2 linked regions of the Sus scrofa genome follow. The protein of the gene in region 2 interacts with the protein of the main gene of each other region in a biochemical or structural test. Links are inferred from orthologs where the notes say so. Each region holds a gene or a part of one and is shown on either strand. Other genes may lie near its edges.

Region 1 (4,072 bases), on a different chromosome or scaffold from region 2:
AGAGAGGGCATACAGCAAGTGCTCAATAAATGCTAGCTGTCACTGTCACCGTTGCTTACATGAGGATCTTTCATGCATCCCCGAGAAGAAGACTTGTTCTCCAGCCCATGAAGAGAGAGTGGCTGGGAGAGAAGTGGAGAGAAGAAACACAGGAGGGAAAAATGAGAATGCGGCAGCCAGATCCACTCAAATACCACTGAGAACTTGGAGGGAAAATGCAGAAACGATTCCAGGTAACACAGGTTCCCTTTTTTCCTCTAGACTTCGGCCACCTGGGAGGTGGGTCCTCAGGTGGGGCGAGGGAGCAGCCAGCCCCTCTGAATGCACACATGCATCTTGGGGCCTACAAGGCTTTGACTGCTTTTGAAAAAATCTGGTTCACTGTGGCTGGTGAGGAGTGGGGAGGTGGAGAGAATTTCAATTTCCTTCACCAAATGGCAAGCTTTCGAAAAAGTCCTTTCTCTCCAACATTATCACATACTAAAAATGAAAAAGCAGCCACTCGGAGCTCTCATAGGGAGAAAAATAGATGGGCTGCCTCACTCACAAGATACAGGGGGGCTGGAAATCAAGTGTAGAGAATATCATACGGTACGTTATGTGCTAAAATACTGCCCCTTTTGGGGCTTGGGAGTTTCTATTTCTTACAAAAGAATGGGATAGAGAACGGCAATTCCCTATATAATAAGCCGCCCATTTTATATTGCAAATCCATTTGGCGGCTGAAGCTCCAAATCCATTTAGTGGCTGAACAGTAGAGGTTAGGGAATTTTTTCTTTATCTCAAAATATGCGGTTTGAGATAACGGCATATCTCAAAAATAGCAGCAATAACAGATAAGACAGAACAAGAGAAGGCACTAAAATGATGTAGGTTATAAAGCCAAGAAGGCGTATTGCCAAAGATTCCAGAGCTGACATACCCTAAACTGACATTAGTAAGAGGAGCACTAGACTGGGAGGCTAAAGCCTGGTCACATGACTTTGCAGGATCTCCATCACCTCTCCCAGCCTCATCTGGAGAAGGAGAAGGAGCTCCCCGCTGTAGAGCACAGGGAATTATATCTAATCACTTGTGATGGAACATGATGGAGGATAATGGGAAAAAAGAATGCATATAAATGTCTAACTGGGTCACTTTCGCTGTATAGCCGCCATTGACAGAACATTGTTAATTAACTATAATAACAAAACATTTATTTATTTATTTGTCTTTTTGCTATTTCTTGGGCCACTCCCGCGCAGCATATGGAGGTTCCCAGGCTAGGGGTTGAATCGGAGCTGCAGCTGCCAGCCTACGCCAGTGCCACAGCAACGCAGGATCCTAGCCGCATCTGCGACCTACACCACAGCTCAAGGCAACACCAGATCCTTAACCCACTGAGCAAGGGCAGGGATCGAACCCACAACCTCATGGTTCCTAGTCGGATTCATTAACCACTGAGCCACGACAGGAACTCCGACAAAACATTTTTTTAAAAAAGAAGGAGCTGAAACAACTGTTCTCAGGGACGCTTTTTCTTTCTGAGCTGTGGAGATGTGACGCTTCCAGAAGACCTGCATCTTCTTGCTATAAGATGAACCTCCAACTGCAAAGTGCAAAGGCCTGGGGCTGAGGTTTGATGGAGAGCGAAAACTGGCCTCCATACTGAATTATGTTTTACAATCCCCAAACATTACTCAGCAAACCGTGCCCCGCTGTCATCCCAGAATCCATTCTGCCAAGACAACCTGACCGAGTCTAGGGGGAAAAAAGTGGGAGAAAGTTCTTGTTCTTTCTGATTTGTGCAGGTAAAGCTGAGGTCACGCGGCCGATGGGCTGAACTTGGCTCTCCATCCCCCTGCGCTAGTGGAAAAATAAATTATTAAAGGAAACCGCTTTAGGAATGCCAGAGAGCAACTCTCGGGATGTATGAAACCGCAGAATGCCAGACGCCAGTGAGTTTCTTTTTTTCTTTGAAACTTCACGTCGCTCTCCGAAAATGCAGCAGGTCCCAAAATGGTACAAGCACAAACACCAGCCACTTTCCTGTCTTCCCGTCAACAACCCCCAAATCTCGAGTGGGAATGTTTTCGTTCGCTTGAAGCAAGTGGCCTGGGGCCTGCGTGGCAGCGCCGAGTCCCAGCCGGGGCCGGGGGCCGGGGGCCGGGGGCTCGGGGCCGGGCCGGCCGCTCCAGGAACGGCGGGGAACTTTGCTCCGCCGCGCCAGGGAGACAATGCCGCGGCCAGCGCCCGCGCCTGCAGCCGGGAGGGCGCCCCATCCGCCGGCCCCGGCCCCCGGGCGCGCTGCCCGGGCTCCTCTCCGGGAGGGCGCGCGGAGCCCCCCCCGCCGCCCCGAGCGGCCTCACCCCCGCATCCCTGGGGCGCGGACCCCCCTGGACCGCCGAGCCCGGCCCTGCGGAGCCCGCGGCCGGCGCCCTCCCCGCGCACCAGGCACCCCGCCGCGGAGTCCGGACCCGCCCGGCGCCCTGTGCCGGCTCCTCTCCGAGCGGGGGCCGGGCAGGGGGCGCCGAAGACCCAGGACCCTCCCACCCCCCACCGCGCGCGGCCCCGCCGAGCCCGTCCGGGCGCCCCGCGACTCACCGGGACCGGGCGGGCCGCTGGGCATTATTCCATCGCGGGCTTGGCGCCGGCTTCTCGGCGGCGGCGCAGACGCCCGCGCCCCGGCTCCCCTCGGCCGGCCGATCGTGGCTCTCGGAGCGGAAAGCGGGCGGCGGCCGGAGCAGCCGGCGGGGCGGGAGGCGCGGGCCGGGGGCTGCCGGAGCGCGGAGTGCCGGCCCGTGGCGGCGGCGGCGGCGGCAGCGGCGAGGCGCGGGAGCCGAGCGCGGCGCAGGAAGGGGCGGGCGACCATGTGCCGAGGGGAGGAGGCCGCAGCGACGCGCGCGGCTCGGACGATCCCGCTCGGCGGCGGAGGGCGCGGGTTTCAGGAAATCCAAACACTTCGACAGGAAATCGGAATCCTGACTAAGCATTCCCGGCCCCGCGGCCGCCCCACGCCGGGGGCTCCCGCCTCGCTTAACCCTTGGCCCGCCGGCACGCTGGCCGGGGGCAGGCGGGGTCTCTGACCCCGGCCTGGACCTGAGAGCTGGACTGGGGTCGGGCGACCTGCTCCTTGGGCCTCACACCGGCCCTGGCCTGCCTCCCCCTCTCTCAGAGGGGGAAGCGGTGGGATTTGTCCCGATCAAACCTTGGCCTTGGGAGGTGCCTTTCTCTGGCCCTCCGACACCCGGGAATGGCCTTGGCCCCGCTTGCATCTGCGGAGGATGAACTTGCAATCTCCCGGCCATTTCCCCGCTTTTTCCTAAAAGAAACGACTTTACCTGGCTGCCCCCTTTCTCTGCTTCCGCCCTGCTAGTTTCCTCAGTTTTACCCGGGACCAGGTGGCATGGACTTTCCAGGTCAAGGTAGTATAGGAATAGTTTGGAGGTTAATAGTGCGGACTTTGGGCTCAGACCTGGGATGGAAGCTGGACTTTGCCCCTTTTTTTCATAACTCTGTTACCTTGGGTAAGTCCCTTAACTTCTCTGAGCCTCTGGTTCCTCACATGTGAAATGAGGTAGTAATACCGCCCTCAAATCAAATCAGTGAGGTTTGATTCGAAAACCGAGCGTCTAGTCAGGGGACTGACTGCATTCTAAGTGCTCAAATAAATGATAGCCATGATTGTCTTTATTACCAAAAGAGACGTCAGAGAAAGGAAAGTTTTAACTGGTGAGGGGTGTGCTGTGCCCTCTATAGCCACAAAGCCTCAAAATTTCATTTCCCTCCGTGTCACCCAGTGACTGTTTTTCTCTGCAGCATTTCAGACACTGCTCTCTGCAGAGGAAAAGGTTAGTGGCTATGGCAGACCCCCTTCTGGTGAAATCTGAAACTCAGCAAACCTTGCAGAAGTTGGTATTTTGCTCTTAATCGGGAGCGTCAGGACGAGGTGGGGGGTTGTTAAAAAGTCCAGGGAGGCTTTACAAAGCCTCTTACTTTTGAGAAAACCAAAGTAAATCTTCATCCAGTCAGGCCTGGACTAGGTGGCCAGTGGGAGTGATTCATTGTGGTTTCCCACGGAAATGCCACATTT
Region 2 (3,512 bases):
GGCGGGTGGCTGGGCGGAGGCCCGGACACAGTCACTGCGCCAGCCTCAGACCCCGCCCCCAGGGCTGCCCGGGGCCCCAAGCCCTTCCATGCCACAAAAGACGGAGGGGCCTTGTCCTTGGCCCCTCAGAGAGGATCAATGGCGGGCAGGCAGAGGGAGGCGAGACCCCATGTCAGGGGCCACCCAACCCAGGATCCAAGCTGAGAAGGCAGTCTGGCCCTGTAGCCTGTACCCTATAGGTTCTCTCCGGGCTGGTACTGGGGCTCGGTGGACGTGAAGTAGTCCTCCAGGAAGGCCTGCAGGTACTCGAAGGTGGGCCGTTCCTCCGGGTCCTTCCGCCAGCACTGGCACATGAGGTCATGCAGAGACTCGGGACACTCAGGCGGACAGGGCATCCGGTAGCCCCGCTCCACCTGGTCCAGCACCTCGCGGTTCACCATCCCTGTGGGCGGAGGGAGGCGTGAAGCGGCTGGCTGCGGTGAGAAAAGTGGGGCGGGGGGAAGCGGACAGGGACAACAGAGATGGCTTCCTGCCTAGGACAGGGTGGCCGTGACCATGGGGAAGGGAGCTGGCCTTGGGCTGGGAGCCCTGAACAAAAAGAGAGCCTAAGATCAGATGTTCCACCTCTTGGTTATACAGATGGGGAAACTGAGGCCCGGGAGGGGCTGTGACTTGCCCGAGGTCACCTGAGCAGAGGGGCCCCAGGGCAGGGGCAGAAGGACCAAAGATGGGCTGCTAGGCGCCCTCTTACCAGGGTAGGGCACCCGTCCCTTGGTTGTGAGCTCCGTCAGCAGGATCCCAAAGGACCACACGTCGGACTTGATGGTGAACCGGCCATAGAGGGCAGCTTCTGGAGCCGTCCACTTGATGGGGAATTTGGCACCTGCAGAGGCAGGTAGGGTCAGGAGAAGCTCAGGAGAACGTCCTGATCACTCTGCCAGGTAGGAACCATTCTCATCCCCACTTGACAGAGGAGGAAACTGAGGCTCAGAGCAGGAGCCTGACTCCCTATGGCCACACGGCACTGCCGGGACCCTGCCCACCTTGCCGAGCTGTGTACTCATTGTCTTCGATGAGCCGAGCCAGCCCGAAGTCGGCCACTTTGCACGCGAGGTTCTCTCCAACCAGGATGTTGGCAGCACGGAGGTCTCGGTGGACATAGTTCATCCGCTCCACGTAGGCCATGCCCGAGGCGATCTGCAGGCAGAACCCCGCGAGCCTGGTTCAGGGGCGACCCTGTGCCCTTCCCAGGTCACAGGGCATGTACCCAGGGGTGGGGCCATCCCCAGGGGTGGACAGACAACCAAATACCCTGCCCTTCCCAGGTCTTCAGGCAATGAAGTCAGTTTACAATAAATACTGTTGGCACAAAAAGCAGGACCAGCACCAGGTGGGGGTGTAGCACAGGGGAAAGGGCAAAGGGTAAAGGAGAGGCCCAAGACCAGATGCAGCCAGGAAAGTGGAGTGACCATGAAAAAGAGGCCCCAGATGCCCCCAGAGATGCAGATGAGTGCCAGCTCCTGCCTGTTGTCCCAAGTCTCTTCCCTGAGCCTCAGTTTTCTCATCTGTTAAATGGAATAATGGCCATCCCTATCTCCCCTGATTGTGATAAGGATTAAATAAAAACTAGCTGCTGGAGTTCCCACTGTGGCACAATGGGTTAAGAACCCAACTACAGCAGCCCGAGTCGCTGCAGAGGTGCAGGGTCAATCCCTGGCCCCACATAGTGGGTTAAAGGATCCAGCATTGCTTCGGTTGCAACATAGGTCAAACCTGTGGCTTGGTTTCAATCCCTGGCCCAGAAATACAAAATATGGAGTTCCCGTTGTGGCTCAGTGGGTTAAGAATCCACCTAGTATCCATGAGGGTGTGGATTCCATCCCTGGCCTCGCTCAATGGGTTAAAGAATCTGGTGTTGACACAAGCTACAGCATAGGTCACAGATGCAGCTCAGATCTGGTGTTGCTGTGGCTGTGGTATAGGCCAGCAGCTGTAGCTCCATTTCCACCCCTAGCCTGGGAACTTCCATATGCTGCAGGTGTAGCTCTAAAGAAAAGAAAAAAACAGAAAAGAAACAAACAATAAAGTTCCCATCTTGGCACTGCGAAACGAATCTGACTAGTATCCATGAGGACACAGGTTTGATCCCTGGCCTTGTTCAATGGGTTAAGGACCTGGCATTGCCGTGAGCTGTGCTGCGGGTTGTAGAGGCAACTCAGATCTGGCGTTGCTGTGGTTGTGGCATAGGCCAGAGGCTATAGCTCTGAGTCAACCCCTAGCCTGGGAACCTCTATATGCTGCAGGTGCAGCCCTAAAAAGATTTTTAAAAAAAGAAAGAAAAAAAAAAGAAATAAAAATTTTATTTTTTTTAATTTTAATTTTATTTTTTTGCCTTTTTGCCTTTTCTAGGGCCGCTTCCCACAGCATATGGAGGTTCCCAGGCTAGGGGTCTAATCGGAGCCATAACCACCAGCCTACACCAGAGCCACAGCAACTCGGGATCCGAGCCGCGTCTGTGACCTACACCACAGCTCATGGTAACACCGGATCCTTAACCCACTGAGCAAGGCCAGGGATCAAACCTGCAACCTCATGGTTCCTAGTCAGATTCGTTAACCACTGCGCCATGACGGGAACTCCAAGAAATAAAAATTTTAAAAAGTAGTTGTTGAGTAGTACCTACAGCAAGCAAATATTAATACATGTCTGTTGAGTGACTGAATGACTTTCAGACAGAAGAAAACTGAGGCCTGAGGTTCCACAGTAAGTCAGTGACTCCTGATGCCCAGGTAAGGGCTCTTTCCTCTGCCCAGAGCCACCACACAGCATCTAAAGTGGTACCAGGAATACATGTGGTGAGGTCAGCAAGTGTGGGAGCAATCAAGGCAAGCTTCCTGGAGGGGGCACTCAAGAATCCAGAACTGGCTGACCAGGTCGGCGCACTCGAGGCCAGGTGTGGGAGGCAGGAGGGGCAAACTCACCTGAGCAGCCATGTCCACCAGCTGAGGCAGTCGCAGGTACTTGCCCGTCTCACCCTTGAGAAAGTCCAGCAAACTCCCTGGGCAGAAAGAAAGTGGCTCTAGCCCCAACGCTGTTCCCCCTGAGCCAGGAAGCAGTGATTCCCAGACGCTGTTCACCGGGGCAGGCTGGGCTTGCTTTAACCGCACTGCAGATTTTATGTAAACCCATCTCTGAATAAAGCCTTTGTTTGTCCCTCTTGAAAAGGCAAGCAGGATGGAAAACAACCAAAGGTGGACCTCCAGGCAAACAGCATTGGGGCACAGCCATATAAGGAATACTATTCAGCAATAAAAAAGGAACGAACTACTGATACGCAGCGCAAGAAGGAAAACCCTTGGATGTAAAAGATTTACATATATGAAACTCTATGAAACAAATCTGTGAAGCAGAAAGCCCATCAGTGGCTTGTCTGGGTTTGAGGCCAGATGGTGCTGTCTCTGGAGGGTACAAGGGTGCTTTCTGGGGGTGATGGAGCTCTAGATCTTGATTGT

The links.
Region 1: the proteins of SRC (region 2) and ASAP1 form a complex in vitro, tested with the Homo sapiens proteins (2 studies listed by BioGRID and IntAct). The link is inferred for Sus scrofa from reciprocal best matches to the Homo sapiens genes SRC and ASAP1.

What each region holds. Positions count from the first base shown.
Region 1 is NC_010446.5:10,102,600-10,106,671, reverse strand, and holds the start of ASAP1 (arf-GAP with SH3 domain, ANK repeat and PH domain-containing protein 1), read right to left. Parts: upstream 2,813-4,072; 5' UTR 2,584-2,812; intron 1-2,583. UniProt on the Homo sapiens protein: Possesses phosphatidylinositol 4,5-bisphosphate-dependent GTPase-activating protein activity for ARF1 (ADP ribosylation factor 1) and ARF5 and a lesser activity towards ARF6.
Region 2 is NC_010459.5:40,519,485-40,522,996, reverse strand, and holds part of SRC (proto-oncogene tyrosine-protein kinase Src), read right to left. Parts: intron 3,059-3,512; coding exon 2,982-3,058; intron 1,198-2,981; coding exon 1,044-1,197; intron 884-1,043; coding exon 752-883; intron 443-751; coding exon 234-442; 3' UTR 1-233. UniProt on the Homo sapiens protein: Non-receptor protein tyrosine kinase which is activated following engagement of many different classes of cellular receptors including immune response receptors, integrins and other adhesion receptors, receptor protein tyrosine kinases, G protein-coupled receptors as well as cytokine receptors.